7 linked regions of the Danio rerio genome follow. The protein of the gene in region 1 interacts with the protein of each later gene in a biochemical or structural test. Links are inferred from orthologs where the notes say so. Each region holds a gene or a part of one and is shown on either strand. Other genes may lie near its edges.

Region 1 (4,840 bases):
CGGAATAGAATTGTAAAATACAGGAGCATACCGGGGAAAAAAGGAAAAAGATATGATCTAAATGGATTAGCTATTTTTTTGATGGCACTTCATTTTTCAGTTTCACATTAAATCTTCTGACCAAGCAAATGCTCTGTAGTTTCTTACATGTTTCCCCCTTCAAGACGCTTCAGATTTGCGTTAAATTTGATGCACTTGAGCTCACACAATCACACTGGCAGAGTATTAATAAAAATAAAAAGCTATTGGCTGCTTTTTAAAAGGGGAGGAGCTTTCCTGCCCTGTTTTCAAGTTTCATTTGAAATTGTCACACACCAAAAATGCACATTTCAAAGCACTTCACAGGACCTTTAAACCAAGCTAACTTAATGTGTACTGATACTTCATGATTCTGTAAGCATGAAAATATATACACCAAAATGCTGCAAGTAATGTCAGATTATCAAAACAAACATATCAAAACTAGCAATAGATCTATTTATTTGTAAAGAGTCATGTTTTGACTGCAAAATTGCACTTATGTTGAATATAATTTGATGCAAATGGCAAAATGCCCTTTTTAAAATAATATCAGACAGAATAGGCAGGTGTGCATTTTACATACATTTACATTTTGACGACACATTTTTTCTTCAATCTAGTAACTACACACTTTGTGTGTCTGGGGTCCTTTGAGCACTAGCAGCATGTGAAAAAACTAAAACCTGTCTTTTTCAGACAAATTAAGTGGTGTGACTTCCTGTGCTTAGTCCTTTGTTCAGCGAGTCTATATCAGGAAGAAGCACTTTAAGATCTTGTGGTAGGCTACTTGCAGAAATGCTGTAGCAAGATTCTAATCAGTAGAGCTTTCCTGCTAAACTTATATTAGATTTTTTTCTGATCAGTTCTGCCTCTCGTTTTCATCTGCAGAAGTAATTTCGTTCAAATGACTGAGAAAACTGAGAATGTTTCTGCAGCAAACCTGCTGCCAGTTGATTGGTGGTGAACTCATTGCGCAGGTGAGAGAGCAGAAGGCAAGGGAAAATTAAAGTTAATTTAATCTCAAAATTGCACAGATTACACGAACAGGAACAAAAGAGTAAAATACGCCTCTTATTGTGATTCTCAAATGAGATCAACATTAGTCTGAGAGCAAGATAAGAAATTAAATCTTCTTCCTTCCATTCTCATTAATCACTCACAGAACATATTGTCTCTGCTTGCCTTGTAGTTGCAAACTTGGCCTGCAGCTGAATTGGAAGAGGAAATTCCAGAGCTGTACAATGCAAACGTCTTGACAGTATTCTGTGATACAAAACTCGAACTGACTAGGAGTTTAGCTCTCAGAGATGTCAGCACTGTGGTCTGTCACCAAAAGATACAAATCATCAAACTAGCATATTTGAACACATATCGCAATTTAAATCTTTTAAAGGAAAAAACACCTAATTTTTTTATAACCAAGCATGACAATTTATACTGCAGATACGAGTGGATGCTATTTGATTTTGACAATGTAAATATTAAGTATTTATATGCCAATAATTTTATAACATGTTTAACATAAAAAAACACTAAAAATTGTGTTTTTCTTATGCACCACAACTAAAGTTCAGAAATACAAAAGAGCTCGATAACTCGAGTGTTGTTTCCCAATGCTTCTTCTGACCTTAAACTGCTGTATTATTTATTTGATTTTATGACATTTGACATGTACCCCAGAGAAGAGAACTGCACAGTGAAAAACTGGAAAACAGCTGCTTCACTGAGCACAACAAGAAAACAATATTCTTCCGCTGGAGTTTAAAGATGACACAACTGCAGAGTCATTCCCTAAAATTGGTTCATTTTTCCACGCTGAAAATGTGATTTTATGTGATTTTCTGATTTAGAAAAAAGGTTATGAATCACTGAAGTGGTGGCATGTTTTTGGATTATACTTTCATGCCACATTATTTAAAATCTAGATATAATTGACTTTTTTCCAAAGCAGCTGTGAAATAGCATGAACATGATTCTTAAAAAAAATTATGGTTTTCATCAAAAAAGAAACTTGAAAACATGGTTGATATTCACACTGCTATCATTACAAGGCTACGACTGACATCCAAATGAAGAAGGTTTATGGGTCTGGTGTGTGTGTGTGTGTGTGTGTGTGTGTGAGTGTGAGTGTGAGTGTGTTTAAGTTAGAAAAAGATTATTTGGTTAAAGTCATCGATTATGAAGGTCACCTAGGCACTTTTTTATGAAACGACCCTCCAGTATTAGGAAACATCTGACCTGCACTACTTGAGCGCTGCGCGTCCTGCTGGCGCTCCAAAAGAACAGAATAAAGACCCTGACCATCACACCTGCACAACTCTTTAGTTATTTTGCACAAAGTATCACATTTCTAGACGACTGCTGTATTTCTCATGAACTCCTAAAGTCAAACACGTGGACCTCTGGCACGGATAGAGCAACCTAAAGGGCGCACATTAAATCAGTTAATTTTAGTGCTGTGATTTCACCACCTCTCACCTCCGTCTCCAACTGCACCAGCTCCATTTTGGGCCATGGCTCTGCCAGTTGAGCAAGAGGCATTGTGCACGCTCCTTCTGTTTGTCTCAAGTCCTCAAATTTGAATGGGAATTTCTTCCGAACCCGTGTATTTCCTGCTGGCACGACCTGATATGTCCCTTTGGGTCAGGAGCAAACGGGCGACTTTCCTTGCTTACAATCCGCGCAGGACGCGCATAATCACTTCGTAGAAAAAGAAAGATCAAAGCTGTTATTCCCGTTTAAATGACGTTGACGGATTCTCCTCTCAGTCCGGCTAGGAAGAGGAGTTGCACAGCCCCGTTCCTGGAAATGAACAAATCTCTCAGACACGCGCAGGTGGACTCGGCTTTCAGAAGAACATGCACTGCGCGTCTGCGCCGATCAATCGCGTCTCCTCCGAGGAAATCCAATAAGATGTGTTAATGCAATACGGTGGAAAGTGTCTTCTGACACTGACTGTCGGTGTGCACACAGACGCTGCAAAGAGGAGCCGATGCTGTCAGTGTGTTCTCCTCTGAACCGAATCCACAGTGTAAAAGCTTCAGCCGATCATTGGTTTGAAGACAGTTCTCGGCCAGCCCCTTTTCCAAACACTCTGCTTACGCCCCTCTCTGGACCTGTGCTGTTACTGCAAGGCAAACTCTAAAGCTGCACTGACAAGGGCTGAAACTTCTAGCTCAAATTTACAGGTTGTTATATTCAAACAAACTCTCATGTAACTAATAAAAAATCCTCTTCCAAACATACAGTAGTTTAATTATTTTGCGGTCTCGGCGTGGATTTATCGGGAAATTGCGTTCAAACCTCATACACACGTGCGTGTCACGTCACCTCACACAAATAAAAGTATGTCCTGCTGTCCATAGCTTAAAATTTAAATATATTTGTGTCAAAGTTAAAGAGGCCAGATGAAAACACTTCTTAAACTCCTGGAGATCAATACTTTTTGTTTTTAAAAATTCCATTTGTGTCTGAAAGTACATTTCACAGAGAAGACTCACAACAAAAACAATTATCTTCCTCAAAACTCATACAATTTTGTTTTGTTTTTTAAAGTTAGAAGGACAAAAGTAACAGAAAAAGATACATTTAGATGGAATTTTGGGGGTTTCAGCAAGAACTGATAAATCAATCATGTTCACATGACATTAATTCGTCAGAATTATGTGCGAATTTAAAGTATTGGCTATGTCACAAAAATTCAGATTGAATTACAGACTTTGTGTTTTGTGTTTCAGTCCACACTCTCATAAATTTGTCAACCAACTTAATCAATTTGTTAAAGTCTAATCAAAAAAGTCATCAATTCATAAACTGGGTTCTGAAATAAAAAAATCTAGCAGTTTGATTATTACACGTTTTTCAGGTGTAAGATAACATTTGGATGTTTTTTATCACTTAAACAACAACACCACCACCAATTTCCTATAAAATATCTTTTTAACTGCATTTGACTGATATGAAAGCATATCATCCCAGGGCATTTCTCAGAAAAAAAAAAAAACTTCTCAACAAAAGAGAGATTGATGTAACAAAGTATTCCCCATTACTGGCACAAGTAGCCTATCTCCTTTTCCATCATGCTAGGAATGCTGTTCGATGTTCTCAATTGTAATTGTCTTGTAGGCTTGCCCATTTTGTGGCGAGGCAGTGATATGCCAATACCTCTTGACTTTTTATTCTCTCAAAGGGAGCAGAGAAGAGCAACTGTTGCTTCTCGCTGAGAGTGGTTACCACTGGCAACCACAGACCATCTGCCAGCGTGCCGGTGAATCTGTTGCCAGAGTAAAACAGAGTATGAATGGCCGCCTTTATGAGATGGTAGTGGGAGGATATGGAGTGTGCATTGGTAGAGGACCATGTTTCATTGAGTCAAATGATGGGACAAAGTACAAACTGATTTTAATGGCACTCAAATACACTAATGATAATGTAGGGCTTTGTCAGGCTAAACTGTGACATTTAAAAAAAGGCATCAAGACTAAGACCTGCAAGTGTGGATATAAAGACAATTATAAATCCTTCTCACAAAAACAAATCAAGCATTGCAAACACACTTGATGTGTTTGTGTGTGTGTGTGTGTGTGTGTGTGTGTGTGTGTGTGTGTGTGTGTGTGTGTGTGTGTGTGTGTGTGTGTGTGTGTGTGTGTGTGTGTGTGTTTGTGCAGTAGGATGTGGAAACTGCTATTCTCTGCACTAATGCTCCACTGCCAGAAATGAAATATGTTTGTACTGTAACTGTCCACATTTACACATTAAAGGTACATAATACCTAAAAAGTGTAGTACTTTACAGGTACCAAAATGTAAAAAAAAATATA
Region 2 (5,038 bases), on another chromosome or scaffold:
CAGGATGGCATTTCTCCCTCTGCAGTAACGTTACAGCGCCTCTGGCCACGGCCTTTACCTGCGCAGTGTGGGATGCGCAATAACGAACTTTTGTGATCTCACAGGGGGCGGAAGTATTTTTTGTAGTCCCCAAAATTCGTTAATTGTAGGCGTTGCTAAGCTAACTCTGTACAAATCAAGGTCTCCCTTTGCATTAAACTTTGAATATTTTACATTTAGAGATGCTGTTTATGTTCACACAGCTACATTACACATCAACTGAAGTTTAAAATATAATATCGTAGTGGACCACCCCTTTAAATGGGATTTCTTCTTCAAGCATTATTGTCAAACTTATGTTGTAAATCAGTTGCTTGCTGCAGGGTGGTGATTATCCAGAAACAAAACTATTTTAACAAATCTCACACTTTTTGGGGTCAAAGTTTAAACGGGTTTTCAAGCACTAAAACCATAAAATGAAAAGAATGCACATTCTAAAGTAATAGGCTATTAGTAATTGTATAACATTATTCATCAATTTTTTACAACAAGTTAAATTACATGGGATTTATTTATATACGTTTATTCATTCATTTTCTTGTCGCCTTAGTCCCTTTATTAATCCGGGGTCGCCACAGTGGAATGAACCACCAACTTATCCAGCTAATTTTTACGCAGCGGATGCCCTTCCAGCTGCAACCCATTTCTGGGAAACATCCACACACACACACTCATACACTATGGACAATTTAGCCTACCCAATTCACCTGTACCGCATGTCTTTGGACTGTGGGGGAAACCGGAGCACCCGGAGAAAACCCACGCGAAGGCAGGGAGAACATGCAAACTCCACACAGAAACGTCAACTGAGCCGAGGTTGGAACCAGCGACCCTCTTGCTGTGAGGCGACAGCACTACCTACTGCACCACTGCCTCGCCTTATTTATATATAGATCGATTTTCAACATAATTATATTAATCACCAACAATGCTTTATCAAGAAAACATTTCAAATTAATGTCAACATAAATACATAAATTACATAAATCAACATAAAGTACATAAATCTGAATGGCTATGCACAAAATGTGTGATCCTAATTAAACTTTTCATTCACAATTTTAACTCAAATTTCTTTACATAAACAGAAACGGGTTTAAACGGGTTTTTAAAAGAGACAAGTATAAGGAAATAAAAACAAATAATAAAAGTGATTAAAACAGATCAAACGTGTTTTAAAAGGTTATAAAAGAATGAAAAACAAAAGAAAGACATGATAGAGCGATCTGTCGGACAAAGCACAGGGCTCATTCAGTACAGGCACAGCTAAACAGATGTGTTTTCAGTCTTGGTTTGAATGTGCCTAATGTTGGAGCACATCTGAAACACACTATATGTGTGTATAAGCAATAGGAGTACTCCATTCCTTTTATTTCTTTCAGTGTCACTCTGTCCTCTCGCAATGAATGATAACACAAGACTCAATAACAAAAACCAAGGAGTCAATAAAACTCTTCCAAAACAAACATAACGTGGGTAATAAACTTGAGCAAGTCCTTTAAACCTATTCAGAAGTGCACAAATCTAATAATGCACAAAGCAAAAAAACATCTAAAACCTGATGTCCACTCTGATGTGCTGGAGTTTGTATTGACTTCAATTATAGCCCATTATAAAAAATTCATTTAATTATTTAAGCTAAATAAATACGTCAGGGATTACACACACACGCAAAATAGCATATAAACTGGCTCAGCATGCATTCACACATCAATTGTCTTTTTTCTGCAAGGGAAGCTTCCTGTCAATATTCATGACCAAGAAGCCCTGATGCCTCATGGATGCACTGAAATCGAGCACTGCGCTCATTCTGCAGGGCAGCTGCGTCACATGCACCACTGCATGTGTACTGTTGTTTACTTTGCATTCTTGAAATAAATACACAAGGTAAATGTCAAAACGCAATCACTCACCTCGTCTTTTCCTTCAGTGCTGCTGTCCTGCTGCTCAGATGTGCAGAGTTTCCTTTTGTTTTTGCTCTCGGTTTTCTTCATTCTGATGGATGGCGGCTGAGCGCTACTCTAATGTTAATATTTTGTTGAATCCAGTGGTCAGTGCATTCAGATACTGAAACAAATCTCGCCCTGGTACATGGTGAGCAAACCTCTCCTCAACTTTGGTCCACAAATACAGAATAAATGATGAACGCAGGTTTGCTTTTGTGTTGCACTCTCGACCTTAAGTTACAACCCCATCTGCCATGACAGCCAGTCTGTTTTTCTTCTCTTTTTCCGTCAAATACTGCTTTGTTTTCAGTTTTATGTAAACTATGCGGTTTTAGCGCCGAAAATCACCCGGCGGAACACGCTAGCTCGCTAGCAGTTTGTTGATAAAGTTTGACAACATCCGCAAAATAAACGCCTTTTGAGTTTACCAAAATTGAGAAAGTGATCGTTTAAAAGCAATGTGTAAATGAACTCGCCGGGCTCGAGTCTGTCACCGTGAGAGTGTAACGACAGGTTATCATTATGCTGAATAATGCCGCGTTTCCAACGTGTTTGCTGCCGTTTGAAGTCTTCCAGCGGATTGTCTCGTCTTGGTGAACCAATACTTTAGCATTCCAGTTATAACAAAACAAAGAGCTAACGTATAAAAACAGAAAATTTCCTCATCCACTAAACTGCCAGCAGACTGGAGATACACTTCGCCGCAGAGCCACAACACAGCGTTTAACTGTCCATCATGTCTCGTGAGTCTAGAGAGCGAGCTCTGTTTTGACGCGGATCATTATATCTAGCGGTCGCGAAGCTCCGCGTTTCTCCTTCAGTCTCGCTTTTCTTCAGACGTCAGCCCGGCCGGGTGCGGGGGAAACGGCTCGGTGCCGAAAACAATCGCTAATCAGACCCGGTGTTCTGTCATGCCGTCGCTTTTCTCCGAGGAGGAAATCTAGTAGCTTCCTGAAGCTCGCATCAAGTGAACGACCGCCGGTGAGCGCCAAATGCTGATCTAAGTTCAGTCTGTGTAGCAGAGTCTCAGAGAGGAGTCTTGCATATGCACTCGAGAGCTGATCTGAGTTCAGTGTGTAGGAGCAGATTCTAACTAAGTGGGGGAGTCTTGCATTGCATATACACCGGAGGGCTGATCTGGGAACGTTGTTTCCTCCAATGGCTTAGAAGGGGCAAGTGAAAAGATCGCTTTTTGGAGAAATTCGACTTTAGTTTGTTTTTGCTGCCATCTGCTGAGACTAAAGTAACCCTTCCTGCTTAAAACAATGTATAGATCCAAGCTCTCTGTACTATTCCTATTCTATATATTTGAGAAAAATAGAGGCTCAGCATATAATAATAAAACATTTAAAAATATATTATGAAATAAAAATATATAAATAAGTAATGCAAAATATTAAAGATTAATAAAAAATAAACATGAAAAAAGTAAAACTAATATTTTAATGAATACATAAATTAATACAATAGTATGCATAAGGGAAAAAAAACAGAAAAAAAACATATTCTAAATAATAATTTGTTCAGAAATTAAACTTTAACAACAGGGAAATTTAGCACTTAAACTTACTTTTCTTTTTAAATGCTTTTTTCTGTGGTTTGTGTGTGTGTGTGTGTGTGTGTGTACATATAAATAGTCCCTTTATTAATCTGGGGTCACCACAGCGGAATGAACCGCCAACTTATCCAACAAGTTTTTACGCAGCGGATGCCCTTCCAGCCGCAACCCATCTTTGGGAAACATCCACACACACATTCACACACACACACACACACACACACACACACACACACACACACACACACACACAGGACAATTTAGCCTACCCAATTCACCTGTACCGCATGTCTTTGGACTGTGGGGGAAACCGGAGCACCCGGAGGAAACCCACGCGAGCGCAGGGAGAACATGCAAACTCCACACAGAAACGCCAACTGAGCCGAGACTCGAATCAGCGACCCAGCGACCTTCTTGCTGTGAGGCGACAGCACTACCTACTGCGCCACTGCTTCGCCTATATATATATATATATATATATATATATATATATATATATATATATATATATATATATATATATATATATATATAATTAATGGAGAGATTTTTTTCAACACATTTCTAAACTTAATAGTTTTACTAACTCATTTCTAATAGCTGATTTATTTTATCTTTGCCATGATGACAGTACAATATTTTACTAGATATTTTTAAGAAACTAGTATTCAGCTTAAAGTGACATTTAAAGGCTTAACTAGGTTAATTAGGCAGGTTAGGGTAATTCAATTCAATTCATGTTTATTTTTAAAGTGCTTTTCACAATGAAGATTGTGTCAAAGCAGCTTAACATAGTTCTAGTAAAGTCCAGATTTCACAGTTGAAGTTCAGTTAACTAGTTCATGCGGTTTATGTTTCACTGCTGAAAATTAAAACTGAAGAGCAAACTCACCGAAGTGCAGCTCCACAAGTCCAAGCAAGCCACTGGTGACAGAAGTGAGGGAAAAAAAGAAAAACTTCACCCATTGACAAAGTGAAGGAAAAAAAAACCTAGAGAGGAACCAGGCTCTGTTGTACATAACCATAATTTTTATGGCCAAACTTGAAGAGCTGCAGTCTAGGACACTGGACACACCAGATTCTAGAGAAGCTGGAGGTCAATCGTGGAGAAGGTGCAGGTGTGAGTAGGTCGTCGTTGGGGAGTCAGGCTGGCCCAATCGAACAATGCGGTGACTGTGCATCTGTCACAGTGCTCTTTCAGGAATCAGTCTCATGCATTCCATTCCTCAATAACCATCACCATCAAGTCAGGATACTGCCTGGTCCATGATTATGGATATCTTGGGATCATCTCTTCACAGTTCTTGGATCGCATTAATGACACTGCATAGTCTCTAGGGACTTTAGAATGAGTATCCCCAGGTGGAAATAGAGAATAAACAAAATAATTATCGTAGCTGCTGTTCATAGTGTATTTAAACGAGATGCAACAATGAAAATAGCAGTTATTTAAACAAACATAGAAACAAACATGTAAAGCAGATGAGAGTTTTTA
Region 3 (4,238 bases), on another chromosome or scaffold:
TCCCCGTTCTCCATGCTTCACGTTTTGAGGCAATGTCAGAAACTGAAACCGATGTGTGGAGGTCATAAAGTGTTCACATGGCATTTACACTTTTCTCTTTCTTAATCTTTGTCTTTAAATGCTAAATAATTTATGTGTCTCAGCAGAGTCTTTATAGATGTGCAGTTTGAATTGATTTTTGCATTACAAATGACATTAGTGGTGCAGAGCGCAACTTTGAATAAATGACATTACTCAGAATGCTGTAGCTCTCTCAATAATTGTGAGAAAGGAAAAGACAATTGCATGGAACATCTCCAAAAGAAAATGGTGCTATACTAAATAATAATAATAATGATAATAATAATAATAATAAATCTTAGAATAAAAGCAATTCAAAAACATACAGTTGAAGTCAGAATTATTAGCCCCCCTGAATTATTAGTCCCCCTGTTTATTTTTTCCCCAATTTCTGTTTAACGGAGAGAAGATTTTTTTCAACACATTTCTAAACATAATAGTTTTAATAACTAATTTCTAATAATTAGTTTATTTTATCTTTGCCATGATGACAGTAAGTAAAATTTTACTAAATATTTTTCAAGACACTTCTATACAGCTTAAAGTGACATTTAAAGACCTAACTAGGTTAATTAGGTTAACTAGGCAGATTAGGGTAATTAGGCAAGTTATTATATAATGATGGTTTGTTCTACAGACAATCAAGAGAAAATATAGCTTAAAGGGGCTAATATTGACCTTAAAATGTTTTTTGTTTTTTTTACTACTTTCATTCTAGCCAAAATACAGACTTTTTTCCAAAATAAAAAATATCAGACATACTGTGAAAATTTCCTTACTCTGTTAAACATCATTTGGGAAATATTTAAAAAAGAAAAAAAAAATCTAAAGGTGGCTAATAATTCTGACTTCAACTATATATTTAAAAATTTTTAAATGCAAAATGTTGAATTTAGTGTGTGTGTGTATGTGTGTGTGTGTGTGTGTGTGTGTGTGTGTGTGTGTGTGTGTGTGTGCGTGTGTGTGTGTGTGTTTGTGTGTGTGTGTGTGTGTGTGTGTGTGTGTGTGTGTGTGTGTGTGTGTGTGTGTGTGTGTGTGTGTGTGTGTGTGTGTGTATATGAATGGATGGATGGAAATGACAGAGGAGGAAATGACAATTCTACAGTTTATTGTTAAAAAATTAAAGATAGCTTCACCGATTAGCTTTGAATTGATACTAGCGTTTCATGTATACAAAACACTCTTATTTACCTTAATTTTGTTTGGTTTTTAAAAACACCTTTGAAGGTACAGCATGTTTGGGAATGACTAAATTAATGTATTTCCTTATCAAGCAATATTTATCTTGATTTTTCTTCAAGTGTTGTTGATAAAAATTCCCTCAATCTTGAACATGTGTTTTGATGTCACTAATCATTTTCATAGAAACCACCTAAACAATCTTTCACACAAACCTTTTTAAGCGACATTACAAGTTGGAAATGACACTGAAACTGTGCGACAGCTATGTTAAGTATAAAATTTTATTGATTATAGTCTTACGTTAAAAACTATAAAATATTTAACCTATTTTACAAGTACTTAATTAAGATACATTAAAAGTTACCAGCTACATAATATTTTAAAATGTTATTAATATTGTTAAAGTATAATACTCTGAGTGTGCGACAAGGCGAAAACAGTGATTTTGACACCTAAAAAGAGGTTGAATAATATGAAAAAAATATAGCTAGTAAATTTTTTTAAATTAAGTTTTATTATAAGTTTGACAAAATTCTATATATTTTTGGATATATGATCAAAGGACATAAAAGTGCCCGTAGTTAAAGAATTACCCATATACATTAAAAACAATGTGTTTGCTGCTTGGTCAAACAACTTATTTAAAATGAGCTAAAACAACACAATTCTTGAGATTTTTTGGGGACAGCTTAATTATTTTATATTCAGTCCACTTAAATGTGTTAATCTAACTTAATCGATTTGTGTTGGGACAACATAAATGCATTGTGTGGAACTCTGCATTCTTTATAGTGTAGGATACATAAAACCTTTTGCATGCACACACACACAAACACATATACACACAACACTTTTAAGATATAAACAAATACACACAAATACACTGTGTGCACTCACACTCACTCTTCCGGGAACCGCTGCGTGCTGCCAGGCTGGTGGTGCTCCCGGATTGGCTGTTATCCTCCACACTGGGCTCATAGGCGGGGTTAACCAGGCCAGGCTCATCTGATAGGAGGGCGATGGCTGAGGAGGGGCAACCCTCGCCGGGCAGTGCTGCCAGAGTGAGCTCTGAGGTGCTGTCTGTGCAGTCGCCCTCCTGAGAGCGACGCTTTCTCTCTGCAGAGAGTCCATAGTGTGACGCTCCTTTACACCTGTGAGAACACACACACACACAATGACAACTGGGTCAGCAAGATACATTACCATACAATGAAAATGTCATCATCCATGTGCCAATTAGGAAAGCAAAGTCACGTAGAGGAGACTTAGTAATCACATCGTCGCTAGGGTGTGTATTTGGACTTGAACTGAATTTTGTGCAATGTGTAGCTGATATATTATGTTGTGCCATCATAGAGGAGACCAGAGAACAAATACGTTCGCCACAGGAAGCAAACAAACACTAAGAGTAGAATATCAAAGGCCTCACCTTTGAAATGAGATTTCTTGCCTTACAAAACAAATCATGCACTAAAGCTATCTCTTCATAACATTACTGTACTCATAAACACTCACATGCAGATGTTAGTGCGGATTATATAGTGGAGCGCATCCAGAAATACATTTGCGGCATACATTTCTACTTGAAAGCATTCTTTAAATGTCACTATGTTTGCATTGACTAGCCAGTAAATGCAACTAGGCTAACTCTCATATACAAGGTCATAGGTTTGATCCACTCTGCATCCCTGAACTTTACTCTTTCCTAACTAGTGACAGGCAATTTGTCTGGAAAAATAGTGAATAGACAATCAGAATCTGTTGTGTGATGTGATCCGGTCAAAAATGCTTATTGTTTTATTTTGGACCAGTGAGCTTTTAGTGTGAGCGGTGCTAGATGGCTGGTGTTGAAGGAAGATGGATGGATGGATGGATGAATGGATGGATGGATGGATGGATGGATGGATGGATGGATGATGGATGGATGGATGGGTGGACGGACGGACGGATGGACGGACAGACAGACAGATAAATAGATAGATAGATAGATAGATAGCTAGATAGATAGATAGATAGATAGATAGATAGATAGATAGATAGATAGATAGATAGATAGATAGATAGATAGATAGATAGATAGATAGATAGATGGATGGATGGATGGATGGATGGACGGATAGAATGACGGATGGATGGACGGATGGATAGATAGATAGATAGATAGATAGATAGATAGATATATAGATATATAGATAGATAGATAGATAGATAGATAGATAGATAGATAGATAGATAGATAGATAGATAGATAGATAGATAGATAGATAGGTAGATAGATAGGTAATATCAATAAAAAAGAAAACAATAAATTCACCTCAAACATTTGTAAAGTGAATGATGGAACTATTATGGCGGCCACTGGAGCACAGGCCTCTCTGAGGGCCGGCTGTGAGGAGATAAATCAATGGACGGACATATACAGGCAAAAAAATGCATACGGCACTGGGAGAGATGCCATGCCTTGGGGACCATCTTTAAAATAAAGCATTTTGTCTCAGTATTCATGCCTGTCTTCACCCTCATAGCTGCCATAAGAGAAAAAAAGAGCGAGAGAAAGGAGACGTGTGGCCGAGGGTCTGACACTGGCTGTATATCTCACTTACTTCTGACCACTGATTGGAGTGCCTCAGGTGTGCAAACCTAATAACCGCCCTAAAAGAACAACGGCTGCTTTCACTCGGCTTCTGTTAAGGTGCTGATGAAAGACTTCAAATCCTGTTGGCAGCCTAAAGAAAGGCAATTACCCCTCGCTGGTCGATTGGCAGTGTGTCGGGACAAAATTACAGCTTAGGAGTTTTCTGTGATGACAACTACCACTCTCATATACAATCGAAGACTAAAATTGACAGACGATGCAGATAGACTGACATTAGAAAATTTAAAAAACAGATGGACGAACACAGCCAGACAGATATGGATGGATGTATGGATTGATAGAAACTGATAGACAGATAGATAGACAGACATATATAGATAGATAGATAGATAGATAGATA
Region 4 (4,759 bases), on another chromosome or scaffold:
ACTATTATGTTCTGAAATGTGTTTAAAAAATCTTCTCTCCGTTAAACAGAAATTAGGAGGGAAAAATAAACAGGGGGGCTAATAATTCAGGGGGCTAATAATTCTGACTTCAACTGTAAATAGTTTTGCTAAAACTTATTGATGTATTGTTGGCATTTTGATGCCTGTTGGAACGATTGGGTAGCTTTATAAACAAGGGAAAATGAAGACCCGTTTAAAATTATTTAAGACATACAAGATAATTTTTCAGTGAATTTAATACTACTTAAGGCCTAACATTTTGTTTTTGAAATTTAAGACATTTAAGACCCTGCAGATACCCTGTCTGATCTGTATCTTAAATAAATTCTACTAATTAAAAATAGATAATGTAAATATACATTTGAACACCCCTATAATGGGGCTAAAAATATGAATTTAGCGGTTTGAAACCGGCAACTCTAGAGCACCAACAGACAGTGTAAGTGTTCACTAAACATGTTTCTTGTAAAATAGACGTTTGTACAGTAGGTGTTCATAAAACTTGATGCATGGTGTGTATTTTATTAACGCTTGCTTGCATGGAAATTAAATAGTAAAATAAAAAATATGTGCAGTCTTTCATGGTCATCCATTAATAGGAGCAGGAAAGCAAACCAGTCACTGTTTATTTAATATCACAAATGTCATTGAGAACCACTCAATATGCCTTAAACACTGAAAACAGAAGTTTGATTAATAAGTTAGATGAAATTGAAATAATAGATAACTTTGGTTCACTCAAGCATATTACTGAACATTATGAAAACTTCACCTACCCACCGATCGTTTATGTATAATTCGCACCTTTGCCTATAACCACTGACTTCCAATGTATTTGTTTTTCCTATGTTTGTCAATGGTTTACAACATTCTTTAAATGATCTTCTTTTGTGTTCAACAGAACAAAAAAACTGCTGGTTTGGGCCATAAAGTCAAGTGTATAAGTAAATAATTTTCATTCAGACTTTTTCATTTTTGGATGAACTATCCCACTTGTTTGTTTACTCACTCTCAGGTTATCCAATTTTGCGTTCGGTTTGTTGTGCAGACCAATGGTTTTACTTTAAAATAACTTATGGGCAACAATTATTAATTCTGTTTGGCTAGATGTGTTTTTTGTTTTGTGTTTTACTCAGTCTCAAAGTGTCAGTGGTCAGTGACCTGCACTGTATGAATCACCAAATACCACCTTTCAGCTATGAATATTTTTACTTTTATTGTGTAGAAAATAAAAACATCACCAACGCTTTGTATGGCTAAAGTACATTTTAAGCAATTCTTCATTTGTTGGTGAACTATTACTTTTAGGAGAGCTAGGAAACAAGAGATAACAAATCCTTTCATTGCCCCATTTACACATTATGATTTCAATGTTTATATTTACACAAACATTTCTCTTGTGTATTTACATAATCAGGACATCTAAGCATAGAGATGAAGTTGGTTTTATATTCACACATTCGTTCATTAAAAACGAATATATTTACCATGTTATTTTGAATATTCGATCGGACTTAGCATGCAAGTAGGACTTGAAAACAACATCAACACTGTTTATTTGACTGTGAACAATGTTGTACTTTGATAATCATTGGCTGCTAATATGATTTCACTGTTTGGAGTTTGCAAATAATACTTTTAAGAAATGATATTACTAAGGGGAAAGTTTGAATGTGTGAATATAAAACCAACTTTACCTCTATCATCTAAGCTGAGGGTTTTAGAATTGAACACCTGCTTTGTGTAGAAGTCAAAGACAAAATGCAGATTGCTGTCATCTCAATGCAATAGTCTGCGTATTTTCTCAGAAAGAAAAGCTAAAAATAATTCATCTTTGTCTCACTTGCTTATCTGAAATCATTTCACATGGTTGAGCTTCGAGTAACTGAAACAGTTCAGTGGCTGAAAACATAAAATGTAAAGACTAGCTGGTTTAGGCAGCCTCAGACAGCTAGAACATCCAGCTTCAAAATCTAACCTACAGACAAGACTAGAAGACAAACCACCTGAAGACTTTGTTTTTTATGCTTTTTCTAACTTGGTAAGTATTTAAGAATAGTTGGCAACACCAGTAACATCACTTGAACACATTTTATCTTGGCTAATTCCAACCAGTCTGGTTCAGTTTAAATAGAGTAGATGTTAAGACCCACTGAAAGCATGAGTTGTGCCAGGCGTCTTGAAGAACCTTCACATGAAAAGCGTCCTGAATCCTCCCGCCACAGCCCGTGCACGCGCGCTCCGTCACATCTGTCAATCAAACATCAGAGCAACATTCAGAGTTGATGCCTCATACACAGAACATGCTTTATTTATAGAAAAACCGCACATATTACTTTCAATTCCAGGTAGTACATTCGGTGTTTTAAAACACTAACTTAAGTTTTGCATTATGTAATTTCGCATTGTTGATCCATTTAAGTGACTGCTGTATCTTGTTTTATTTTTTCAACATTTTACCATTATTAATACATATAAATACACCAGATCGATTACTATCATCATCATTACTTCTACTACGACAAAACAGGTTAAAACTGGAACCCATATTAGCTAACGTTATCAGTTTACAATCGAGAACAAAAACAACATACAAAATGGTTCTACACGATTACTAAGACAAATCTTTAATGCTTAGAAACGACGCGATGTATATTTTTATTAATTCTTCTGACATCTATTCTAACATTGTTTATCAACAAACGTCAACAACACACGAAAAACACGCGATCGCACCACCAAATTCCTACACGTTGCGTCGGATCTGTGACAAACCCAACAGAAAGAGTCAAAGAGCAAGCTATAAAAGAAGGTCAAGCGAGTATTTTCTGTGCACAAAAACAAAGCTTGTTCACGGAATCCTCACCTTCTCGTTCATCCATGTCCTCCCCGATCTGATTTAATTATATTTGTTCAAGCTCACATGCTGGTCCTGAAAAGCCTGACGTTCACACGGTGCACATCAACGATGCTCCGTTTCTGATCCATGTGTAAGAACCGCAGCCTAAATCCAGCTCTGATTTAACGGAGAAACAGGGTTTCGTCAATTTTCCAGGCAAGTTCAAAGTTTCTGGCTCTCTCTCTCTCTCTTGTCCGACCAAATGACGTCATGAGATAGAAATGTACGGAGACCGGAAGGGATCAAACAGAATCACCTGAAACAGGAGCGTTTACAACCAGACTGCGCGACAAAACCGGTTCCCGTCCAGTGATACCGCAGCGACACCTATCGCCGATAGAGCGAAACTTGTGCAGCGATTTTCTTTGTTTCATCATGTGGTCAAGCTTATTGTTAGTGCATTGTTCATAGCACAAACACAAAAGCACTGATCTCTCTCTCTCTCTCTCTCTCTCTCTCTCTCTCTCTCTCTCTCTCTCTCTCTCTCTCTCTCTCTCTCTCTCTCAATTGAATGCAATACTTGCTTTATTGGCATGACAAATGTTACAAATGTATTGCCAAAGCATTTATAAACTTTACATAAAAAGGTAACATACACTAAAAATCACAGTAAACAGAGTAGGGTAGAGCAGGGCACAAAGTCACACTTTTTGGTTTTGGTCAAATAATGAACAAAGTAAAAGGGTTAGACAAACCATTTTTTTTAACCCGCAACACATAAGCCTCTTCTACAAATGAGCACTGGTTGTATGGTCGCCGGACCTGTGGTTTCTGTGCAATATTGCCAAAAGTGCCAGGAGTAAAAATGTTACTATTTAGTTAGTTGTTGTTGTAGCACATGCATTTAAAGGCAAATTTCACACAATTAATTTTAATTCAGTTTACTTTAAATAGTAGCTATATTTCCTCAGTAAATTGCTCATTTCTTTTTCATCCTGAATAGCACATTTATTTATTTATTTATTTGTTTATCCGATAAATAAATTTGAATCTATTTGCAATATTATCCATTTATCCATTATGATGCTGTGAATTTATTTGCATTATTAACAATAACATATTTTTTCTTAAATATTTTCTATTAAAAGCATTTTTATTTAAAAAGTTCTCAATATTTCACTCAAAATTCAAAAAAAAAATATTTAGTTTAATTGGTGTCCAACAGTGTGTGGCTTAATTGTAACACCCTGTTACAACAAACCCCACTGTGTCATGTTTTCCTCAAAACTGGCTAGCAGTCACTGTGTGTTTTTTACATCTTTCAAAACAATAATATAAGATTTTACACATATACTTTCACAGATTTTTTTAAAATAAAAAAATAACTTTATAAATAACTTAAATAAAAATTACTTTGTGCCCATGCAGCGCTCCCCTGAATAGTAGCAGTAGCGAAAAATAAATAAATAAAAAAACAATATTATATTTATTTATAATAATTAAAAATATATAAATAATATACCATATTATTCAATAAATCATATTATTATTCAACAAATAATATTATTTATACAAATCAATAAAAAGAAATAATAGATCAGAAAAAAAACTGTACATTTAACAATCAAAATTTTTGGATAAAACAGTAACAAAAAATAAAAATAATTTGTACAATGATTCTATTATAATAATCTAGATGTGTATGTGTGTGTGTGAGTGGTGTATGCATGCGTGTGTGTGTGTGTGTGTGTGTGTGTGTGTGTGTGCGTGTGCGTGTGCGTGTGTTTGCAAGTGCATTACTGATGTTTTTATTAGTCTCCTCTCTCTTTTTGTGACAGACATTAACGTATTATGCCATTAGAAGGAAAGAATCGGCTCCCTACCATCCCCATATATAAA
Region 5 (4,238 bases), on another chromosome or scaffold:
ATATAGTTATCCGGCGACACAGTGTTAGACCTCTTTCTGGCCTTCACACAGAAACAGCAACGTGTGCTGCATGACATCACTTTGTTGCAGAGACACTATTGGTGAATGCCTTTGCAAACACTGGGACTTTTTCGTTTACATGCCTGCAGGGTATTTTAAGTTGAGGAGCTATTTGTTTTTATATTAGATTTTATTTTATTTTTAAAATATTTACTGTTGCACTAAAGTCCAAAAGTGAAGAGTTTGTTATTTATTACTTGATTGTTCAAGCTACCTCAAACAGTGCTATGTTTGTTAACAGAGTTGTTGAATGTTAAAATAAATTGAATTAAATAAAAAATAAGGAACATCTTGGATCTGTTTCTTCGCTCTTTTTTTATTATTTTTTTATGTATTATAGAAGTATCGGATCGAGTTTCGGAATACTCAAAATCAAATTAATCGGAGGCAAAAAAAACCTGATTGGACATCCCTAATGTTGATATCAATTTTTTATCTACTAAACATGAATATTGTCACTGTTTCGGAGCACACTAGCTTATTCACCTTATTCTCCACATACGAGTGGGCGCAGCCATTTGAATCTTTTTGGCTCAAGACGTCCGGTCTCATTCCCTTCCATTCATTTTTAGATGTAAACAACAGCTCGTCTTGCAAACTGATATTTTCTTATTAAATTATTCTATTTTGTCTGTATAGTCATGCAAACACTTGTTTGTAGAGTAAGTAGTTTGACTGTTTCCGTTTATTATTCCTAGTCATTTCTCCCATTGGCAACTGAATTGAAAGTTCTAAAACAATCGCAAAACCGAGCGCACTTGCGCATTGAAGAATAATGAATAGATATCCTAAAAACTAACAATACTGATACTAATATCATTCATTCATTCATTTTCTTTTCGGCTTACTCCCTTTAATAATCTTAGGTCGCCACAGCAGAACAAACCGCCAACTTATCCAGCATATGTTTTACACAGTGGATGCCCTCCAGCTGCAACCCATCTCTGGGAAACATCCACACACAATCATTCACACTCATACACTACGGACAATTTAGCCTACCCAATTCACCTATAGCGCATGTCTTTGGACTGTGGGGGAAACAGGAGCACCCAGAGGAAACTTACGTGAACACAGGGAGAACATGCAAACTTCACACAGAAACGCCAACTGATCCAGTCGAGGCTCGAACCAGCGACCTTTTAGCTGTGAGGGGACAGCACTACCCACTGTGCCACTGAGTCACCCCGAACTAATATCTCAAAAACTTGTTTAATTTCATGGAACCTTCAAAAAAATTAAGCTCATTGGTTCTTGCGAAAACTTAAATGCGTCACATGACACGCAAAAATAAACCACATTGGTTCTTGCGCATCAAGCAAGCATGCTTTAGCTTGCATGACCAAATCTGCAGATCAATGTTCAAATGTTATTTAAAGCCTAAATGGATTAAAATTCTGTTTTATTTATTTATTCATAACATTGTGAAAGCCAGAGACCTTGCAATGGAGGAAGAGAAATGGCTGAGATTTGATTAAAAATATCTTCATTTGTGTTTTAAGGATGAACAAACTTCTTATGGGATTGGAACAACATGGGAGCGAGTAGAAGATGATAGAATTATTATTTTTTGAGGTCAACTAAATCCTTGAAGTATGTTCATGTTTATTAATACTGCAGCACTTGATGGAACTCTTTGGTTGTTTTTGTTTCATATGAGGGGAGCATGTGCTGAAGTACCCGTCCTCTCTCTGTCAGCGTAGTCAGCATTATGATGACATTGACGTCCTGCTCCCACACGCTCCTCCAGAAGTGTGTACAGGTGTGCGGCAGTGGACCCTGAGCTGCTATGTACTGCAAAACACAACCTGCTGGCTCAGTCTGACACATGCACGCACACACACAGAGAAACACAAATCGTCAAGTCTTCAGTCAGTCACCCAGAATCATGAATCAAAACTTTTCAATTCAACACTAAAGTGAAGCAATGAAAAGAATGACTGGGATGAGACATACCTTCACGTGACTAGCATTGATGTAATCGTCCCCCTCCTCCTGCAGCACCACCCTGGTGATGTCATCTGAAAGAAAAGAATGAACGGGCAGAGAATGAGGAAGAGGGATTTGCGGATTATGTGAAAACACCTCTGAAGACTAGTTTTAAAGAGCATTACGCCTCATTCCCCATCGGGAGCTTATACGCATAATAATAAAATAATATGTTTGACCTTAGGCCTAATCTACTCAAGTGTGCTAGGTTTGTTCAATCTCATCAGTCATGCAGTTGTTGTAAAGTACAAACCTCCTGAACAAATGTTTTCAGTTTTTCAATTGTTATTTCGAAGGCTCATTTAGAACTTTAAAATGTTGTTTATGACACCAGGACTATTCATGACAGTGTCTTAGGGATATCCTTATATAGCCTGAAGATCAAACCAAACTAATGCTAGTTTTACTTAAAAAATACATAAAATGTGCATAAATTATTAATTATTATTTAGATGACTATATATACTGTGCATGAACAGCAATAAAAAGCGATTCAAATTTTGTTGGAAATGCTAATAAAATTTTAAGTGCCCTTATAATACCTTTCATGCAGCATGTAAGAATAAAGTACATAATAAAGTTACACTACCACCCTTAAAACAATCAGTCACTTCAGCAACAATTCCACTTTAACTTCTGTAACTGATCTACACAGAATCACACACAGTAAACAGTGATTCATTGACTTTATTTTTTAAAAAAGTGAGTAAACCTTTTTATTAAGTTATTAGTTGATTTTACCCAAAAAAGAGAATAAACCTGTTGCCTTAAAATGATTAAGTAAATAAACTATGTGTTTAATTATAAAAATTAAGTTTATTCAACTTAAAAGAATCAATGGGTTTACCCACTTTCCTAAAACTAAAGTCAACTTGTCACTTTTAAGGCAACGGTTTACTTATGGTTTTTAAAAGTAAAATAACTAATTGATTTTTTTATTCCGTAAGAAATCACATTAATAACAATAAATGTCATGAGAAACAATAAATGCCAAGACCCGTGAGAGCAGAGTGAAGCTGCGGTCAGGCTGCACTTTTCTCCTTATAGACTTCCATTTATACGCACACGAAAGAGACAAGTTTCGCATTTTGGAAAGTTCAAGCTTGGTGAACTCTGAACTGCGAAATCACATCACATGATTGCGTGAGACCAATCAAAGACCAAAACATGACCTCTCTAGACAGAAATTTAAAACATGGACCAATCGCTCGCTTTCTTAATGTCTGATCATTTTGTTTAATCCCGCCACTTTTCGCAGGGCCGTACAACAGAATTGGGCATGCACAAACTCTAGTGTGACTGCAGCATGAGGCCGGTGGTGTGAGTGTTAACAAGCGTCACCTATTTGCCACACCGGTCTTGAGTCTACCAGAGGACTGTGGAAGAATAAACGGGAAAGTGATGAGAGAGGAAGAAGAGAGGACCAGGCCTGTAACATGGTATGTTTTGTTTTGCTATCAGTTTGTCATTCATGAAAGGCTGCCATCACCCGCTTGTTTTCTTTATCAAAGTGCTTTAAACATTCATCAGTTCTTCTTCATTCATCAGCCTCCATCTTTTGGTGGCTAAAAAGCCATCTAATTACTTTATTACAAGCCTCCTTAGTGCTTAACAGAAAAACAAACTTGTTTGGACACACTTGAAGGTATTTTTTATTTTCGGGTCAACTATCCCTATATAAACTGTAAAAAAAAAAGCATAACTGAGGCACACTGTGCATCAACATGATGTTGAGTTTTCCACTTATAAATATGAGCCATTGATGTCTATTTTCAACTACCATTTATGATTATTTTGATATCACAAGAAGACAGCATTACTGCATTAACACTTTACCAAATCATGCATTCCCCGGAAACTGACATCACTGTTAGTGCCATGCTTTACAGTCTGAACTACAACTTAAAAAATGCCCTAGCTATTGTTTGTCTACATTTTTAAGTAAAACAATCCCACTTAATGAAACCTCCAGATTTTAATTAAAAAAAATGATATAACTAATATATAATAACCAAATAACACAATAATGCTATAATGTGTCTTCCGTATAACTTAATTTTCCTGGACATGAAAAGCAATACAACTTACATGGTAACACATCTTTGTACCGATTCTTGTCCATATTCTCAGACTGCTTTGCGCAAGACATTAACATTCCTTCTTTCTTCCTGTACAACTTCTGTAAGCAG
Region 6 (4,238 bases), on another chromosome or scaffold:
AATCTTTAGGTGAACTATTCCTTTAAAGCAGCGGTTCCCAACAGGGTGGTCGCGGCCCACAAGGGGGCCTCAGCGAGCTTTGTGGGGGGTCGCGTCATATTTTAAAAAAATCTTAGCAGTGGACAATTAGGACAATGATCATGTTGCCTTAGTTCATTTTATCCCCTAGCTCAGTGGTCCTCAACCATCGGTCCTAGATCAATTGGTACCGCTCCGCACAAGAAATCATTAATTATTTCAGTTTTATTTATTATCCGAGTCTGAACGATCTTTTATTTTGAAAAATGACTGTACTCTCGTCTTGGTCACTTGAGCGCCCAAATTTAACCCACAAGCAGCAAAATGAGTAAGAAACAGGCGTCTTTAGAAAATTTGTAATCCTCTAAGAAAACGGTTGGTGGTCGCATAGCAACCTACGAAACACTCCCAACCCCACGCAGTAAAATTGTCAAGCGTTGACCGGTGCGTGGTGATACCGATGTTTTGCTTTTATATTTTACATTAGTCTATTATTCATTCATTCTTTTATTTATTTTCTTTTTGGCTCAGTTCCTTTATTAATTCGGGGTCGCCACAGCGGAATGAACCGCCAACTTATCCAGCACATGTTTTACGCAGCGGATGCCCTTCCAGCTGCAACCCTTCACTGGGAAAACATTAGGCTTATCTTAATGCATAAAAATATCTACATATAGTAATAAACATACCATTTGTTTGAAAACAACATTTTTATCATCATTACTGCAAACTTATATGAGCGATTATATCATTAAATGTGGAGAGGGGCTTACAATATTTTCAGGGGGGAAAAGGGGGTCTCAGGCAAAAACAGGTTGGGAACCACTGCTTCAAAAGACTTTTAATTTTGGCATGAATAAAGTTTTACAAACAGTTTTACAAACAGTAATGATGGTGTTGGTTTTACCATATCAACCAAACCAAATTCCTATCATTTAGATGTGATGCAGGCACAGAAAACAGCATCCTTCTCAACACAAGACAAACTAAACTCTTCCAGACATCATCTACAGCTGCAGAGTTTAAGGGACATTCACCAACTTTATGACGACTGGCTTTATGCAAAACTATAAAAATCTACATATGTGTGTTGCTGAGGACTCATTTCAGCAGTTCAGAATTGCTTCTTCATATAGAAAAACAGCTACATTGCACACTACTTGAAAGCTAATATCAGACGACGGCAAAACAGACCACTTTAATGATGTTCCAAAAGCATGTTTACATAACATTAGCTATGTTTCCATCTAAAGATGTGAATTAAACTTGTGCCCAAACTGGAACATCAAGTAAATCATTTGCAAATTTAACACCGTTTACATCCAGTGACTCAAAGTGAACTAAATCATAATTACCTGATAAAGTGGCGGTAAATATCAAAAAGAAAAACGGAATTTGCTGTGATATATTAGAAGCCACTGAAGACTTTTTTCCTTATAGAATAAATGACTTGCTATTTTATTTATATTGAGTAAAAAGTTTCCTACTCATTAAAGAGCATTAGTGTTTTGAGCGTATTTTCAAAATGTATGTCCTAACCCCAGCCCTAACCTTAACCTTAACTGATGTGCATAAAAATAAGGTGGATAAAAACATAGCTATAGTCATAGAAGAACCATCCTTGGTTGTCCAAAGAACTTTCAGCGAAAAGTACATTCTGTAAAGAACATTTTTAAAACTCCAAAGAATGGAAATGGAATGACAGATTTGGAACATGGATTCTAAAATAGAATCTTTATCATTTTTCTAAGAGTGTATGTAGAGGATTCCGCACCTTCTTGAGAGCTCGTGACGGAGGTTTCCTGATGGGTTTGGAGATCTCGCTCCGTTTGGACACTGATCCATTGCCCTGTTTACTGGTGGAGGGTGAGGGTGAAGGGGTCGTGGCTGTGGGGCTCGTCCGGATGGCCATTTCCTCAGTGCAGGTGAGACGAAGACTGCGGAAATACTCATCAGTCTCTCTGTCAACCACCAGCAGTCTGGTCTCATGTTCCACAGCTTTAATCCGCTGCACCACCTGAAGACAAGAGAAATGCACATTTAGAAAAACTGCTTATGGGTCCCCACATTAAGAAATACTATATTATTTAATAGTAAAGTGTTTTTGAACCATACTAAAGTGTATTATAGGGATGCAACGATTACAGTTTTTGATTGTACATGTATAGTCTGAGGAATAATCACAGTTGTCTAGATTATACATTCATTAATTTCAAAACACTACTAGTTGTAAGTAATAAGTAGCCCCACACAGAATCTGCGCGTGCAGAATTCCGCAGATTTTCCGCAGATTTCTAGCCCATCATTAATTCAGTTTATTTACTTGAGTAAATGTGTAAATCTACATTTATTCAGTTTTTGTTCAGTAAATTATTACTTTTTATTTCATATATTAAGGCTTTAGTTATGATACTCCGCTGGATACTCCCAAAATAATTCCGCAGAAATCTGCAGATTTTTACCAAAATTCTCCGCAGAAATAGCAAAAAACGTCCGCAGATTCTGTCTGGCCCTAGTAATAAGTAATAATTTTACACTGAAAACAAATGACAGAACAATGAATTAATAAATGAATGAATAAATAAATAAATTAATTAATTAATAAATAAATACAAACATACATACATGCATAATAAATAAATTTAATAATTAATTAATTAATTAAAAATAAATAAATACATAAATGTATTAATAAATTAATTTATTAATTAATGTTATGTACAAATACATAAATAAATAAATAAATAAATAAATAAATAAATAAATAAATACATAAATAAATAAATAAATAAATTTAATAAATATTAATTAATAAAAAATAAATAAATACATAAATAAATAAATTTATAAATACATTTATTTATTTATTTATAATAAATAAATAACAATACGTTTACAAAAACTGTATTTGTCTAATGTAAATCTAAGCATCATATTAGCTAAGTATTTCCCTTTTAAAAAGAACAAATGCTGCTGAACCTCTGTCTGAAAGGCACTCTTGATCAACTATGTTATGAACTTGTTTGGTATTTTTCTTTTGTATTTTTTTTTCCTCTTTAAAGTAGAAATGTGTTTCCCAGTGATGGGTTTCAGCTGGAAGGGCATCCACTGCGTAAAACATATGCTGGATAAGTTGGCGGTTCATTCCACTGTCCCCAGATTAATAATGGGACAAAGCTCAAAAGAAAATGAATAAATGAGTAGAAATGTGTTTTTGTATGCTAGTACTCCACTGTATTACATAGACAGACATACAGTAACCATTTGAGTTCTGAATATGCCAAATAGGCTCAACCCCCCTGTTTACTGTAGTAAAAAAACCCTTCTATATTCATTTTTTGTTTCCATGTATTAAATAAGTAAACTGCCACTTTTCTAATTAAATGACACATTTATAAATATATATTTTTAAACTTACAGGCTAATTATTAATAATAATAATAATAATAATAATAATAATAATAATAATAATAATAATAATAATAGTTATAATAATAATAATAATAATAATAATAATAATAATAATAATAATAATAATAATACATTTTATTTATAACATGCTTTTCTAAAACCCAAAGCGCTTACAAGAAAGTAAAAACAACAAAGCAAGTAAACAATTAAAAAAATGCAATAAAAAAACACAGTAAGAATAAAAGATATCACAAATTAAAAACAGACCTAAAAAGATGAGTTTTAAGTAGCTTTTTAAAAGCATCAAATGATCCGGCACTCCTAATGTTAGTGGGAAGAGCATTCCACAGTTTGGGAGCACGGAAAGAGAATGGCCTACCTCCCATGGTGCTGAGTTTGCAGCGAGGCTGAAACAGCGTAAGACTCAAGGCAGAGCGTAGACTGGAGCCGAACCATGAACCGCTTTATATGTTAAAATCAATGTCTTAAAATCACATTTCACGAATTACAAATCACAAAATTCACATATTTCACGATCTGAATGATAATAATAAATAAGAAGTATGTTTTTAATACTAGACAACACTTGATGTTTCTGTCTCTGTCAGTGACCCAGTGACAGTTAAAACGAGTACATTCTCTCAGTGCTTCTGTCACTGTTTAATCCTTTCTGGAGATGAAAGCAGAGAAAACCCCACTGCTCCTCCATGACATTGGGATACAGGCCATACAAGGTTGTCTATATCAAAGAACTGCAGATAAGCAGATATTATAACAATTTATCAATAAATACACCTCGTTCTCTCGAT
Region 7 (3,424 bases), on another chromosome or scaffold:
TTGATGCTGACAGAACACTTTTCTATTGTTATTCAGTGTAAACGCACCAGTTGGACGGGAATGAGTTCATGAGTAGTTAGGAATGGGTTAATGATGATGTGCCCCTCCAAGTTAAGTCATGATATAATAATATATTAGCATATCATGAATTCATGATGGTTAAATTAAGCTTAAACTAATGTGGTATTTAATCAATTAAATCACAAACAATCGTGTACTAACAATTAGTTAAGGTAGCCGTTATTCACTCATGAAGTGAATCATGCTGTCGTTAACGATAGTTAATGATTAGCTCATGCATTAACATAATTAGTTTATAGTAAAATAATGCTTAGTTTACATATTAACACATCATTATTCATGTACTGTTATTGTAAAGTGTTATAGGATGAGCAACTAATGAGTAAAATTTCAATTGTAGATGAACTATCTTTTTAAAATGGTTTGAGAGTGAGTAAATTACCAGCAAAAAACGTTCATTGTTAAGTGATCTATCCCTTTAAAGATTTATACACAACCAGACACACATTAGTACACGTTTGAAAGTTTGAAATAACAGATGTAATGATTGTGCTGATAAAAGTGATTCTGGAATGGGTTTATATCTGCCAATCATCTGAGAGCCAACATTCATCCTACACAGACACAAGAACATATGGAGGGACCGTCTGAGTTACATATGAACGAAAGCTGCGTCAAAACCCTAAGACGCAGCTTTGGCTATTAAGGAAAAACTGTTAGTAAAAGCATGTAAACACCTGTAGATAATGGTGGCTGTGTTTGGTGTTTGTTCCAGAAACTTCGTACACACAGTGGAAAAGGAATGATTGTGTTAAACAGCTGCCGTCATGGGACTCTTCTGTCTTGGGTCGGAGTGCCGTTGGTCTCCGTAAGCATAGCGCTCTGGGCTGGTGTTTCGGTAGCCGCCGCGGCTCATGGTGTCAAATCGAGGGCCTCTGATGGGTATGGTGGGAGATGGGGGGACATCCTGTCGAAGTGGGCCTCTCTGCTGTGGAAGAGGGTGGTAGAAGCCGGCGTCGCCTTGACGAGGATCCAACGGGCGAGGGTAGGCCTCTCTGGGAGGAGGAGGGTAGCCGGGGTGGTAACCTGACTGGGGGTTTGGGTATTGTGCTGGTTCTCTGTGTGCTGACCACTGCTGCACAGGATACTCATTAGGGTCAGCTGGTGCTCTTCTGCAAGAGAGTGAAAGTGAAGGAAATATAGTTAGGGGAAGGAAGGAGATGGTAACACTGGTCAACTGTTCTAACAACCCATTTATTTTCACTGCCCAATTATTAGTTTTCAGTCACATGACCAGTGCGGAGGCTGGCGGACAAATAAACAATGGGTCATTATGGCATCTATACTGGGATTTCCATTTGAAACGCAGCACAAACCGGTCATTTTCCTTCAGTTTCAAGCTACAAATATTTGGATCACATATCAACAAAGGGTTAAAGTCAAGTTTGCTATGAGTTGACTACAATACTTTTAATTTTTATTTCGATACTGGTGCTAAATCAATACTTTTAAGACAGCACCGGTGCCGAAACGGTCCGTGAATTAATACTTTTGGAGGCTAATGCGCACAGCACCGAACTGACCGTGAAAGCAGAGGGACAGAGTGCCCGAGAGAGCGAATGCACGTGACACCTAGAGCGCACAGAGAGAGACCTCAGTCATATCTCCGCAGTCAGCCACTGATGGCTGATCTCGCTTCTCTGTGGCATTTTGACACAAACATGCCCGTCTAAATTTAGGGGGGCCAGAGGAGGGTCCAAGCTTGTTGACACGGCATCTGCTTCATGTAGCTGTGTCAGAATCATTGCTTGTAAAATACGCTTTAGAATGGTTATTTGATGAACGCAATCATGGGTGTTAATCTGAAGGGAGTCGCACTCGCTCACCGAATGCAATGTACTATGTGCGTTGTGTGCGTCCGTTCCCTAAGCAACAAGAACAAACGCCTGACATCGCCTGTCTGTACTCCTCAAAGTTGTTTAGAAATAAATGTTTAGAGATGGTGTGACAACGCTTACCTATGTGTGCCTTTGATGCACCCCTTGATGCTTCTTTTGTCCTTATCACAGCACCAGTGGCATCGAAATTAGGCACCGAAATTCATTTGCTGATTTGATCCGGTACATACCGGTTTCGGTACCCAACCCTACTTTTAATCAAGGCAGAGCAATTCATCGAAAATTAATCGGGATAAAAAAGTTAAATAGTGTCACACAAATTAGTGTCTCTAAATTTCTATACATTCATACATCCTCAATGCCAGATTGCAGTAAAATAATGTAAATTGAATTTTGCAGCATGAAACATGATTAATTAAATTGTTTTTTGTATTATTAAGTGTTTATTTTTTACTATTAAGTACTTTATTCATGTTTTTAAAAGCGCAAAAACATTTTCCACGCAATCCCCACCAATGTCAAGAGCGAGTCTACGGCCTTGATTCATTCACTTCTGCAATTTATACTTTAAATTTCCATTTGAATTGATACTTTAAAATATGCTTTTTATAGATGGGTCATGGATCAATGATCCTAACATTCGACACAAATCCATAAATTTCTCCTATCAGGTTGTTCTTTTTCTGAAGGAATTCTGCACAACCCGGGCATGTTCTATGTTTAGTTAATAATAATAATAATAATAATAATAATAATATTATTATTATTACTATTAATAATAATAATAATAATAATAATAATAATAAATAAAACATATTATTATTTTATTATTAAAAATTTATTTGTATAGCACTTTTCAATAGACCTTACATATGCATGTACATGCACATACTGTACATGCATACATACTCTTACACAATATATACATAAAATGCCTACACTTCACATACTGTTTCATTTATATGCAATTTTAAAAATGTGCCTCTTAACACGCTTTTTAAAAACATGAAAGTTGGGGGATAATTTTATTTTATTTTTTATTCGGGACACAATTCCACATTTTTGGAGCATAGTGCTATATCTTATTGCACAACAATTATCTGCTTTTGTTTGGCAGTCAGCAGAAGATAATGTTTTGGCCACCAGGGGTGTTCCCGTGATGGTGTGACGACAGGTTAAACCTATCGACTGGAATTTTATTTTGCTTGTTTTCATATCTTATCTGTGTTTCTATTTTTATATTTTTTCAGTCTCCCCTTTTGTATCTGTTGTTTTTTATGATGTTGTAACTTGAAACATGTTAAGTATACATTTAGCAGGATCAAAGATTTGAGCAACAAAAGAAAAATAAAAAAAAAGCTGTCAAACCTGCATCTTCAAAAACAAGACTGTGGTTTACATAAACAGACATGATTGGTGTCTAAAGATATATTTCTTCACATTGCTATACTTTATAAACTAAAGTAAAGTACAGTTTTAAGTATTGATAATTTTATTTAGCATGA

The links.
Region 2: the proteins of rps6ka1 (region 1) and mast2 interact in a test that uses a peptide from one of them, tested with the Homo sapiens proteins (2 studies listed by BioGRID and IntAct, with this or other methods). The link is inferred for Danio rerio from reciprocal best matches to the Homo sapiens genes RPS6KA1 and MAST2.
Region 3: the proteins of rps6ka1 (region 1) and lnx1 interact in a test that uses a peptide from one of them, tested with the Homo sapiens proteins (2 studies listed by BioGRID and IntAct). The link is inferred for Danio rerio from reciprocal best matches to the Homo sapiens genes RPS6KA1 and LNX1.
Region 4: the proteins of rps6ka1 (region 1) and limk2 interact in a test that uses a peptide from one of them, tested with the Homo sapiens proteins (2 studies listed by BioGRID and IntAct). The link is inferred for Danio rerio from reciprocal best matches to the Homo sapiens genes RPS6KA1 and LIMK2.
Region 5: the proteins of rps6ka1 (region 1) and ptpn3 interact in a test that uses a peptide from one of them, tested with the Homo sapiens proteins (2 studies listed by BioGRID and IntAct). The link is inferred for Danio rerio from reciprocal best matches to the Homo sapiens genes RPS6KA1 and PTPN3.
Region 6: the proteins of rps6ka1 (region 1) and Na(+)/H(+) exchange regulatory cofactor NHE-RF2 interact in a test that uses a peptide from one of them, tested with the Homo sapiens proteins (2 studies listed by BioGRID and IntAct). The link is inferred for Danio rerio from reciprocal best matches to the Homo sapiens genes RPS6KA1 and NHERF2.
Region 7: the proteins of rps6ka1 (region 1) and pard3bb interact in a test that uses a peptide from one of them, tested with the Homo sapiens proteins (2 studies listed by BioGRID and IntAct, with this or other methods). The link is inferred for Danio rerio from reciprocal best matches to the Homo sapiens genes RPS6KA1 and PARD3B.

What each region holds. Positions count from the first base shown.
Region 1 is NC_133192.1:28,543,365-28,548,204, reverse strand, and holds the start of rps6ka1 (ribosomal protein S6 kinase alpha-1), read right to left. Parts: upstream 3,053-4,840; 5' UTR 2,563-3,052; coding exon 2,500-2,562; intron 1-2,499. UniProt on the Homo sapiens protein: Serine/threonine-protein kinase that acts downstream of ERK (MAPK1/ERK2 and MAPK3/ERK1) signaling and mediates mitogenic and stress-induced activation of the transcription factors CREB1, ETV1/ER81 and NR4A1/NUR77, regulates translation through RPS6 and EIF4B phosphorylation, and mediates cellular proliferation, survival, and differentiation by modulating mTOR signaling and repressing pro-apoptotic function of BAD and DAPK1.
Region 2 is NC_133181.1:36,390,619-36,395,656, forward strand, and holds the start of mast2 (microtubule-associated serine/threonine-protein kinase 2), read right to left. Parts: upstream 2,963-5,038; 5' UTR 2,034-2,962; coding exon 1,953-2,033; intron 1-1,952. UniProt on the Homo sapiens protein: Appears to link the dystrophin/utrophin network with microtubule filaments via the syntrophins. Phosphorylation of DMD or UTRN may modulate their affinities for associated proteins. Functions in a multi-protein complex in spermatid maturation.
Region 3 is NC_133195.1:25,257,792-25,262,029, reverse strand, and holds part of lnx1 (E3 ubiquitin-protein ligase LNX), read right to left. Parts: intron 2,394-4,238; coding exon 2,146-2,393; coding exon of another isoform or gene 2,140-2,145; intron 1-2,139.
Region 4 is NC_133180.1:21,551,965-21,556,723, reverse strand, and holds the start of limk2 (LIM domain kinase 2), read right to left. Parts: upstream 3,082-4,759; 5' UTR 2,904-3,081; coding exon 2,888-2,903; intron 2,272-2,887; coding exon 2,175-2,271; intron 1-2,174. UniProt on the Homo sapiens protein: Serine/threonine-protein kinase that plays an essential role in the regulation of actin filament dynamics. Acts downstream of several Rho family GTPase signal transduction pathways.
Region 5 is NC_133191.1:29,704,594-29,708,831, reverse strand, and holds part of ptpn3 (tyrosine-protein phosphatase non-receptor type 3), read right to left. Parts: intron 4,229-4,238; coding exon 4,138-4,228; intron 2,082-4,137; coding exon 2,017-2,081; intron 1,882-2,016; coding exon 1,741-1,881; intron 1-1,740.
Region 6 is NC_133178.1:11,806,723-11,810,960, reverse strand, and holds part of Na(+)/H(+) exchange regulatory cofactor NHE-RF2, read right to left. Parts: intron 2,036-4,238; coding exon 1,793-2,035; intron 1-1,792.
Region 7 is NC_133184.1:14,758,424-14,761,847, forward strand, and holds part of pard3bb (partitioning defective 3 homolog B), read right to left. Parts: intron 1,194-3,424; coding exon 833-1,193; 3' UTR 1-832. UniProt on the Homo sapiens protein: Putative adapter protein involved in asymmetrical cell division and cell polarization processes. May play a role in the formation of epithelial tight junctions.